Rhinolophus ferrumequinum: one gene and its partners. The protein of the gene in region 3 interacts with the protein of the main gene of each other region in a pairwise test. Links are inferred from orthologs where the notes say so. Each region holds a gene or a part of one and is shown on either strand. Other genes may lie near its edges.

Region 1 (3,745 bases), on a different chromosome or scaffold from region 3:
GAGTTACGTAAATAATGGAATAGGCTATATTCTCTTAGCATGGGGAGAGGTACCGTCATTCCTTGCCCCCTCTTCCTGGGGCCCCCGTACCTTAAGAACAAAGCAGCAGCGAAGGAAGAGACCGTGCCAGTTTACCTACCCACACCCAGGAGACTGGAGGGTACCTGGTTTTTGACGGGAGTGACGTATCCCTTCTTTCGATAATCGATCGAAGCTGGGACTTTGCCTTCCCAGTCTGGGATGTAGAGGGTGTCGTTACTGCGGGAACGAGATGGGGGTACTTTGAGTCCAGTCATCTGCTGAACCACCTCTTCACTGGTCTGGGACAAAGAAGAAAGAGGCCAGGCCTAAGCAGCGACCTGAGGCCAACAGGGCAGGTAAGCCAGGTGTGGAGGCTCAACTCACCATGTCCCCCAAGTGGTTCATGGCCAGTTCATAGCTATGGACGCCAAGGGAGGCCTCAAGGTTATGGATGGAAATGTGCTTCAGGTTTTTTTCCCAAATTAAACGCCGAGAGGTTTCATCCACCTAAAGAGACCACAGTCAGTACTGGCCTACACTGCGTGCGGTATACAAAGTCACATGATGTAATACTGTGGAGGTTTTTAGGAGAAAAGATTCAAGTTCCAGGGATAGAGTTTACCGTCTAGTTGGGCAAATGACCACGGGATTATTAAGAGCGTGCAAAAAGAAACATGAACAAATAATTGAATGCAAAGCTCTGGAGAGATGGATAGAAAAGTTGCTTATGGATTATCAGCATTCATCTGAGAAATCGTCCCAAAGGAAAGAGAGAAGGCAGTTGTAACAAAAAGGAAGGATAGGACTTGATGGAGGGTAAGTCGAGGCGTAGGAATGAAAACCACATGTTAACAGTTAGGGGACGGGGGCAGGGTTGCTTGGCTGGGGTGGTGAAAGTATTTGGACAGAAGCAGGGAGCCTGGAGGTCTCAGGGTTCCCCCCCTCAGTGCTCCCCTCCGGGTCCTCGGCACCTTGCTATTATACTGCCTCCTGTAGGTCTTCTTCCACAGCTCCCATTGCGTGTCCAGTATCTCCTCGGGGGTTAGAGCAAAGCTCGCCAGGGGCAGCAGCAGAAGAACCTTGAGCCCCCACATCCTGGGAAGAGGACAATTAGAGGAGACTCTTCTATTTGCCAAGGAGTTCCTAGCCTGGCTTAGGATGAGGAGATAGCTACCTGGAGACATAGTCCCAGACAGGTGGTTCTTCACCTTTGGGAGCCATAGACTCCTCTGAGAAGCTAATAGTTTTGCAACCCACTATAAACCCTCTCACCAGAAAAATGCATGCACACACAGTCATTCTGGGGAGTTCCAGAACCTGAAGTGCAGAACCCCTTCCTCTGCTGTATGAGGCTTTATGAGGAAGGTAGACAGAGAACAGTGGTGGTCAGGAGGGGTCTGGGATTGGATGGGGTGCTGATATACCTGGTTCCTAGTCATTTGACCTAGGGAGACTCAGGGCACTCGCGCGTGCGTGCACGCACGCACACACACACACACACACACACACACACACACAACTTCCACAGACAACTAGAAACAGGGTAGAAAATGGACCATCAGCATGGGCTCAGCATTTGTCTCGGTGCCCCCAGCAGCCTTGGAAGAGACGGACAAGGTAAGTGCAAGGGGGATGAAGGAGGTTGGAGAACACACAGAGGAGAGATTTCCAGCTAAGTTCTGCACCCTGACCACTTCTGTCAGGCATTCTTCTCTTCAGTGGCTAAATTCTTTCACTTTTCCAGAGCTTAGCAGGAGTCGACAAGGGCAAAGTTGACCATATTTCCTATTTTCTAACTGAGAGAATGGATTTCCTGTTTCCTCAACATTCTTAGCAGTTCTTCTTTCTCTTCTGGTTCCCTCCTCAGGCAGGAAACTGTCCTAATCTCGACCAGCTGCTGTGGGAAGGTTTTTGGTGGTTTTTTTTTCTCTGACAACAAAAAATCTCTGTGACCGCCTCCCAGGCCAAAAAGCCTCAGAACCAAAGTTTGTTAAAAGAACATAAGACAGAAAAGCAACGTTCTATGACCATTAAATACACAGCTTTATAGAAGTTTGGTCTAGCGTCGCTCACTTCTTGCAGTGGCTTACTTATGTGCCCTCCATTTTAAGAACAATTTATAGTCTTGCATAACTTTTGAATTTATAGTCCATTTTTGTGTGCTCTTTGCAAACTGGCAAATAACCAGCAGGACATTTACTATTTGGATTGTTAGGGGCTTTGAGACGTCACAGATTAGGAAGTACTGAGCTACCGTCTCCCTGCACCACTCCACCTCCCCCCACCACAAGTTAACCCTTTTCGTACCTTTGGCCAAAACAGAAAACCCCACAAAGAGGTCCCCCTTTGAAGGATGGGTAAAGGATCCCCTGTACTCTTGGCTTTCACTAGTAACCACGTATACATACAAATCACAAATGCTTTAGAAGAAATCCTAAAAATTTCCAGGCAGATTGTATACGGCCAGGAAATGACCTAAGGGCATCATTTTCATCCACGCAGCCTTTTGAACCCCAAGTCACTACACCCCTAACACTTCTACGATGCAGAATTGGCAGGAACGAAAAGCTAAATGTACTAGGAAGTCGAAAAAACGTTACCTGCTGGCTGGGATCTGTTCTCTGGGCTCGTTTCTGCAGGGAACTGTGGATAATGTGAGCGGATGACTAGGGGTGCTGGATTTATTCCATTGGAATTGCGGAAGTCAGCTCCAGCTGTTGGTCGGAAAAATTGGATGGGAAAGAAGGGAGGGTAGAAATGCTGAGAAGGGGGCACGGGGGAGAGGAGGAGGTAGTGGATTTGCATGTTTCTGCATGGAGGGTTGCTTTTTTTTCAGTTTCACATTGCCTCTTTCTGAGGGCAGACCAAAAAATAGTAAAAAAAAAAAAATCCCCCAAATTACATTACTTAAGTTGGGGATTATCTTCTCTTTAGTAGCTAGAGGGACACACTTCTGGTCTCCCCCATCCTTCTTTATTAATTATATTGGGGGATCACATGTTTTCCTGATCTTTCCATCACCGTCTCTTTGAAACTTGTTTTGTATTTGTCTCTGACGTTCCCACCAGAGGAGAGGGAATAAACACAGAAGGCTAGGAAAGAGTCGTAAGGGAAGTCAGAGGTTCCAAAAGCATCTGTATTTTATAAGCTTGTTGGCTAAGTCGTTGCTGCTTCATGGAGGGTATTAGCTCTCCCAGCCAAACATGGTTTTGCTGAGGAAGCATGTGCCCAGAAGGTCCAGATGAAACCGGTTCTAAAAGTAACCCAAAGCAGTATTCCTGGGAATTTCTGACAGCACATGAATCAATGGCATAAGCACTGACAAGCTCACACGTGACATCCCTTACTAAGCTCTCAGGTGGTGGGATGCCTGATGAAGAGTGCCTGGCTGTTACTAAAACCCCCAGCCCAGGTCATCTGAGCTTCTCCACATACTTCCCACATACTTCCCCCAACACCCAGGCATGTGACAGATCATGAGTCTAGCTCAGTCCCCAAACCACACCCCCAAACTCCATTTTCTTCCATAACCAGATGTGGGGCAAGAGGAAAAGAGGGTCCTTGGAGCAGGAATACATGGGCTCTGGATTCAGTTTCTGGCAGGATTACACACGTATTCCTCAAGAACGCAGTTCTCTGCCTCTGGGTTTGAAGGTGTGCTGATGAACTATATGGTCCCAGAGGATTGCCAGGTCCGGACCTGAACAGTGTCGATTTCCCCGTC
Region 2 (3,745 bases), on a different chromosome or scaffold from region 3:
CGGAACCTGCTCACCAAGTCACTTAGAGCTAGGGGATCCAAAAGGTCAGAGAAATGCAGGAATGTACCTGAGCAATCCTAGTGTGCTCCTCCCCCACCCAACTTTTTTAATCAGCTGAAATCTGATAAAATAAGCAATGAGTAGCTTTGAAGGAGAAAAAGCAGTCATAAATGGGTAGGTAATCCTGTGGTAAGGAGGGGCAGGGGCAGCAAAGATGTTAGGGTTGTATTTATGTGTCTGAACCAGGGGCATGTTTTAGCACTAGCAAACTGAGCTACACTCCATCTTGCCCTAGTAGCCAGTCACTGTAACTAACATTTATAGAGCACCTACTATGTGTCTGGCAACACACTAAGCACATTCACCTTCATTGCCTTACTGCAAAAGGAAAATGATAAGACCAGATTGGGGAAGTGGAAAAGTAAGAAATAGGAAAAGTGTCTCTAAGTAAGAACAGGAAAAAAAATTAAGGGAGAAATATGAGAAGGATGTCAGAGGGAATACAATAGAAGCACAAGGCTTTTCTGGGAAGGGCTTGAAGGGTGAATTTCAGGATCATTGGCCCATCCTTCCTCATCATTCCGGACCTGCCAGACTAACAACCAGTCCAAAGAGATTCCTAGATAACAGTGCAGCCCAGACCAGCAGGTAACAATGCACTGGCCTAAACCTCCAAGGAATCCAGGATTGTCAGAGGGGCCTTAGAAATCATCTATAACCCCTTCATCTTACAGTGAAGCTGAGGATCAAAGAAACAGGAGTGACTTGCCCAAGGTCACAGTTAGAGGTACAGCCAGGACTAGACCCAGATCTCCAGAGCATTTCCATTGCACCAAGCTGTTCCACAGCCCTCTCCCCTGGGCCTCCTTCACCTGGTATGGGCTTGGAAAGCCCAGCCATTCTACAAGGTCAGGGATATAGGTCAAAGGTTAGCTGAGGGAAGGGGTCACTCTGGTGAAAGAAGAAAAGGTTGACTGGGAAAAGGAGACTCAAGTTTAAGAAAATGGAAGACTACCAGTGCAAAGAAGCAAAACGACTACTGTACATAAAAAGACCCTTAATAATAAGGGTGATAGAGTCAGAACGAACTACCAAAACATGGTATAACTTGAATAGAGCATTTCCATGATCCCACCATGCCTGGGGAAGGAACTTGGAGAAACATGATGACAGGCAAGTAACACATCTATGTCCAACAGACTGTTAGATGGGAAGGGGTGGACTCCCTAGGTAACCTATCCACCAGCAGCACCAGAAACATCCTCCAGAACCCAGACAAGAGTCCCAAGGACATAGCCAAAGGCTGAGGTCCAATCAAGATTCTGAACCTCCACCTATTGGACATCCCACTGGATCATTGCCATGGTAACGAAATGGCAGAACCTGCCCCTCAAGAGTCTATCCCAGGGGTCCATCTGCCAGCCACTCTCCCTCCAGTTGCCAAAGCAACTCCTACCCTCCTTACAGTACCCTCAGAGAAGAGAGCTTAAAAATACCTACCCCAATAGAAATAAACCCATGTACAAATGGAAATCTTTTGAGCTCTAAACAGCAATGAAGACACCCCCACCCCCAGGAAACCACAGCTAGAGGGTCAGTGGGTGCTCTGCGGGTTTGAACGTGGAGGTGACAACTTGTCTGGAGTGCCTATAAGATTACCCAATTCTCTCCTCTGTTTCCACCCTCCCAGAAACCCTTTCTCCTTAACTCTCCCTTCAGTGTTCCTCCCTCCTCATTAGTTTTAGGAGAACCCACACTACTGGGCCCCAGTGTACTCCTTCTCCAAGAAGTAACTATGTCTGAAATTGGGGAAAAAGAGACCAGAGGTGACCTGGAGTAGAGGAAGGAAAACTGAGTCACAAAAGCATTGCCTTCCCACTTCAACCCGGGAACACCTTGGGGTCTTCTCAAAGGTGGACCTCTCTTTGGCCCTTTCCCAGCCTGTTTCCCCAGGTTCCATTCTCTTCCCTCATCAGCTACAAGCCCTCCCTTCCCATCTACCACACCCCTTCCCCATTTCCCACTTTCCTCCATAACTAGCACTCCCAACCCTGGGCTCTGCAACCCAGGTTCTGGGCCTTTGGGGCTTTTCCTGGAGCCCTCATTCCCCACCTCGTTGCCATCTCTCCATTCCTTTTTGCTTTCGCCCCGAAGCTCCCTCGCGGGCATCCCCCGTTTTTCCTCTGCCAATCCTCCCCCTCCGTGTTCCTCTTTGGTCCCAGGGTCCTAGCTACCCTCTTGACCCATCAGCCCTCCTCCTGAGACCCTCCCACCTACCCCCACCTGCCCGATCCTCTGGGTGCCCTGGCCCCCATTCCTCTTTGGGGTCGGGCCCCACCCCGAGCCCCCAGCCTCAGGCCAGACAGTGCCCGCAGTGGGGGGACCGGATCGAGAAAATAACAAATGGAGGCGGCGGCGGCGGGAGGGGCAACAGAGAGAAGGTGGGGGTGGGGAGCCGCGGGCCCGAACCCCGGGAAGCCCAAAGCCCGGGCGGCGGCAGATCTTACCTGCTAGTAGCTCCGGACCACTGGCTGGCTCCGAGCGCGATTCCGGGCTCCGGTGCCTCCGGGGGGCGGCGGCGGCCGCTCCCCGCCCCCCTCTCCTCTTCCCGGCTTCAGTCGCCGCCGCGACGGCGGCGGCGGCGGCCTCGACCCCCTCGGAGGGCAGGCCCCATCCCCCTTCCTCCCCCCACCTGGTCCCGATCGCCCGCCGGCCCCGGAACAAATCCCGATCCCGGCTCTCGCTCAGCCCCTCCCAAGGCCCGCCACCTCCCCCCGGCCGCCCGGAATGCACGGGCCGCGCCGCCCGCCGGCGCCGCTCCACTCGCCCCCGCGGCTCCGCCGGCCCTCCGCTCGCCTCTGCCCGCCGCCTCCCGCCCGCTGCCCGCGCCGGCCCCGCGCGGCCCGCACTCGAGCGATTCCCGGCCCCTTAAGCGGCCTCCGCCCGCGGCCCCCGCCCCTTCCCGGGCGGTCGTCTCCCTCGCCCCCTGCTAGCCCCTCCCCGAGGCCAGTGGTCCCCAGTAATGGGTCCCGGCCCCAGGCCCCGGCCCGACGCGGGGCTGCGAAGGGCTGGGCGGCGCGTCCGGCGACTCGCACAGGAAAGCGGCCGGCGAAGGGAGGGAGCCTGGGAGAGGGGGATGGGAGAAGGGAGGAAGAGGGAGAAGGAGGGAGCGCGGAGGAACGAGGAGAGAGGGGCCTGGAGGGAGACGCGAGGGAGGGAGCGCCAGGCAAGCTGCGAGGGGGGAGAGAGGGGGATCGGAGAGGGGGAGGCGCTGTGCGAGTTGGCCGAGACCAAGGCCGAGGGGGCCCGGGGCGCGGGGAGGGGTTCGCGGAGGCGGAATGTGGGGAGCCCGCTGGCCTGGAGCGGGAGAGGGCTAGATAGGAGGGGCTGTGGGTTTTAAGGGCAGATATGGGGGAGGCAGGAGAAGTTAGGGGGCAAAAGGGTCTGTGGGAGAGGTGAGGTGGGAGTTTGTGGGTATGTGGCCGAGATTGGGGTAATGGGGTGAGATTGGAAAGATGGCTTTACATGGGGGCTTTAGGGGCAATGAGGTGTGACAAGGAGAGATGAAAGAAGCTTGAGGTGACAGGGTCTGTGGCAGACATGTAGGGGGATAGTTTGGGGAGACAATTATGAGAGAAACAGGATGGAAGTTTGGGATCATAGGAGGGGAAGAAATTGAAAAAAATGGAGACATATATAGGAGGATGGGATTTCTGGAAGAGAGTGTGGGGGTGACTGGTGCTGG
Region 3 (3,745 bases):
GCTAGTTATTCATCTTGTTTCCCACTGACCAGTGCCCCCTCAAAAGTGAGGTAGTAGAATAGAGGAGAAATAAATGGAGGGCCATCCATCCTCCATTTTAGTCTGGTATTTACAGAAAATAAATCTTTCTATCCTACTTCCACTCCACAATATAAATCAGACATAATCTGCAAAGGGAAAGGAGTCAGGAAGAGAAGGCAAATAAAGAACAAAGATAAAAGCACCAGAAAGAGAGACACAGCGCTGCGGATGGGGGTTCAGTCAGCTGGCACGACGTACCCCAGGGCTCACCACTGCCGCTGAAACATTCAACAGCACAGTGATAAATAAACATTTAAGAGATAAATGTCATCTGGAAGAAACGAACAATGTAACTACCATGTTTCCCCGAAAATAAGACCTAGCCAGACAATCAGCTCTAATGCGTCACTTGGTGCAAAAATTAATATGAGACCCGGTCTTATTTTACTATAAGACCGGGTCTTATATAATATAGTAAAAGACCCAGTCTTATATTAATTTTTGCTCCAAAAGACGCATTAGAGTGGAATGAAAGATAGAACTTTTCCCCAGGAGTCTACCTTTGGCTTGGAGTGACAAAACATCTACTGATGGTCTAAGCGTGTATGTACTCCCAATAACTATAGAAGCCATATTTTAACAAAATTAAATTCAGTGCCTCAAATTTAATGTTTTCTCAGCTATAATCATTACATTCTGTTGCAAAGAATATAATGTTGAAAAAACAATGCTGGTTACCAATATGACCATGTAAATGCAACTTGGGTTATATTACTCAAGAATAGATACCTTAAATGGGGGGTGAGGGTGCCAGAAAAGATTAATTCCATGCCACTACAGGAACAGTTCAAGTTCAAGGGGAAACAAAAGCATAGCAGAATTCCACCCTGATGTGGCCCGTCACACAGATTTAGGACAGCAGGAATCAGCTGTCATCTGATGCTCTATAACCAGGTGTCCTAGCCCAACAAAAGGGCTCAGAAGCAGCTCTCCTGTTCACCAAGTTTCCCTGAGGAGATTCTAGGTGCACATGCTGGGCCACGAGTTTTGGGTCCCGTGGGAAAGAACGGGCTTAGCATTGTGAAAATGCCCTGTACGTGCCACATGCCTTCCTGGCCCACGTCAGGCTGCTCACTTAAGTGACAGCAATATTGGAAAGTGCCCAAAACAGTCGAAGCCACCAATGCCTTTCAAACCACTAAACCAACAGGGCTGATCAGTCACAGCGAGGGTCAGTAAACTCAGTTTGTATGCAACATAATGTGACTACCAAGCAAGAAAAACACTACTGTTGAATTTCTAGGCCTAGCAAAATAGTTATACATTCATCATCATCAATAGTTCGGGTTCATGTTACAATATGTCTTTATTATTTTTCCAAACATTGTAGGAAGCACAATTTAAATTCCTACTCAAACTAAGTGAAATGCGGCCACAGGGTAGCAGCAGCTGGAGCCTCCCGAAGCGCCGAAGGTGAGACCCAGCTCCACCTGCAAACACAAGACAATCCCAGGCGCACAGCAGCCCTGCAGCGGAGCGGAAGCCAGGACTCAGGACACCTGTGCAGCAGCGCTGCGTAAGCTGAAGTTTGCTTTAAACAGCAAAGTACAGCAGAGCCACAGAAACAGCGCGGCGAGGCCCCTGGCGCTGCTGCAGCGCGTCCCTGGCCGCCAGCCCCCACCGGCTTACAGCGCCCCGGTTCCCAGTCCCTGAAACGCCAGTACCTTTCCTCTTCCTGGTCCGAGCGGCCGGTAAACAGGTGAGTAAGACGCCCTTCCAGGCGTACAGAAAAGGCAAGGTACACTTCCCGGTCATGAGAAGCCAGCAGCGCGCGGCCCTCCCCCCAGAAGCAAGTCTGGAGCAGAGGCCCCTCGGAATAGTTTCTGTTCCTGAACACGTCACGGTCAAGTTGTCAAGAAGCGAAGGGAGGCGCCCGGCTCCCGCCCCTCCGTTCCCTGCTCAGAGGCCTGGGCCGCCGAGGCAGAAGGCAGAGACCAGAAGAGACGAGAAGACCCGCCCGTCCCAGGGCGAGCGGACCACACCTCCCCGAGCTCCAATTCGCCTGCGTCTCCAGAACCGCGCGCCATGGCCGCGCTGGGCCGCCGGGCCCTCGACTGCCCGGGACCGGCAGTCTGTCTACCCCGATGCCCGAGCCAGGCTCTGGCTGGCTGTCGGGAGGGCGGCCGGGGCCAGAGGTGCGCGGTGGCGGCCCCGGACAAGGCGGCGCGCTCGCGGGCTGGCTCTGGAGTCGCCGCGCGGAAGCCCCGGGGAGCCCAGGGCCAGGCCAGGCCGGGCCGGGTGGCGCCGCCACTGGGACAGGCGGCTCCACCCGAGTCTCCACCCGAGTGCGAGCGCCCAGGCTCCCAGCACCCCCGAGGGGAGGGGGAGGGGAAGGGGGAGGGAGGGGGCGCCCACAAGCCCCGCCCCCGGGTCGCACAGCTGCGACCTGGCGGGGCCGAGCCCCTTACCCTCGGCCTCGCCACCAGCTAACATCTAGGGCCAAACAGGCCGGGTTTCTAGAGGCCAAACGCTCGGAACCGTAACTGGAATCGGTCACTTCGTGTGGCTGCAAACTCAGAGCTCCCGAGAGCCCGGGAAACGCGCGGCCAGCCCCAGCCCTTATCTGCACTGCACAGCCCTCCCAGGTTAACCCTTGGAACCCCGAGGTCTTCTAGAGTAAAAGACTGCGCTGGGCTTCTCCCAGCAACGACGTGCTTACCAGGCGGCAGCGACCATAGTTCCTCAGTTCTCACTTCTCCATTTCCACCCGACAGGACCACATTCTAGACTCCCCTCCCTTCCAAGAGACTGCAGGGAGAGCAGTAAACACACAGAACCATATGCAACTCCGGCCTCAGCCTCCACGCGGAGACCATCTTCTCTTCCCACTCTGGGAAAGCCAAAGGCCTCATTAAAGCGAGCTGCTTGTTTTGTTTTTAAATAAGCATCACCCTTGCCCCATAAAGCCCAGGGCCTCCATGAGCATGCTGAGGTGTAACCTGTCATTACATCACCCGTAGGCAGCCTGTAAAGGCAGCAAGAGCTGGGAGGCAGTGGGGTCTGAACCCCGCGCAGGAGACTGTAGATCACCCACTGCCAGCAGCAAATTCTAAATCGAATCACTTCCCACGCTATTAATTAAGTGTTCAGCCACCTCACCTTATTTTACTATTAGGCTATATAAAACATCATTAGGATTAGAAATATAATTGAAAACAGTCTACTGACAAATATAAATTACTATTACCTACATTTTTATTTTCTAATACATATTCATTCTAGACAGGTCTCAGGTTTCTAGGGCAGGTGACTTCAAATATTTTAGGCAGAAAAACTCTCCAAATAATTAAGACAGCACCCAAATGTATAAACAAGTCAAGGAGATTACTGATGCCTGAAGCAAAGAAAAACAATTCATTTTTCCCCCCAAACTTGCAAAGGGCCGTACAGAGCCTTACAGCACGGTCTGCAAACCATCAGGCCGTGGACAAACCTCTCACCAAGTGAGTCAGGAAGTAGAGGTAGACGTGTGAGGAGCCACCTACGCTCGGATTCCAACCAGTCCTCACTGCCTGCTCCGCTGTAAAACCAGGACAGTATTTCCAACCTCACAGGGCTTTTGTCTAGATTAAGAGGTGGGTACCTTATGTGTATCACAGATACCGCATATTCCAAAATACATAAGGACTCACCTGAGACCTCCAAGTTTTACTTGCCTGAGGTC

What was found.
Region 1: the proteins of SIAH1 (region 3) and CTSK interact in a two-hybrid assay, tested with the Homo sapiens proteins (2 studies listed by BioGRID). The link is inferred for Rhinolophus ferrumequinum from reciprocal best matches to the Homo sapiens genes SIAH1 and CTSK.
Region 2: the proteins of SIAH1 (region 3) and ATN1 interact in a two-hybrid assay, tested with the Homo sapiens proteins (2 studies listed by BioGRID and IntAct). The link is inferred for Rhinolophus ferrumequinum from reciprocal best matches to the Homo sapiens genes SIAH1 and ATN1.

Annotation. Positions count from the first base shown.
Region 1 is NC_046305.1:50,977,006-50,980,750, forward strand, and holds the start of CTSK (cathepsin K), read right to left. Parts: upstream 2,777-3,745; 5' UTR 2,622-2,776; intron 1,117-2,621; 5' UTR 1,116-1,116; coding exon 993-1,115; intron 529-992; coding exon 406-528; intron 321-405; coding exon 165-320; intron 1-164. UniProt on the Homo sapiens protein: Thiol protease involved in osteoclastic bone resorption and may participate partially in the disorder of bone remodeling. Displays potent endoprotease activity against fibrinogen at acid pH. May play an important role in extracellular matrix degradation.
Region 2 is NC_046293.1:24,077,773-24,081,517, reverse strand, and holds the start of ATN1 (atrophin-1), read right to left. Parts: upstream 2,692-3,745; 5' UTR 2,508-2,691; intron 1-2,507. UniProt on the Homo sapiens protein: Transcriptional corepressor. Recruits NR2E1 to repress transcription. Promotes vascular smooth cell (VSMC) migration and orientation. Corepressor of MTG8 transcriptional repression.
Region 3 is NC_046298.1:3,727,061-3,730,805, forward strand, and holds the start of SIAH1 (E3 ubiquitin-protein ligase SIAH1), read right to left. Parts: upstream 2,360-3,745; 5' UTR 1,837-2,359; coding exon 1,746-1,836; intron 1-1,745. UniProt on the Homo sapiens protein: E3 ubiquitin-protein ligase that mediates ubiquitination and subsequent proteasomal degradation of target proteins.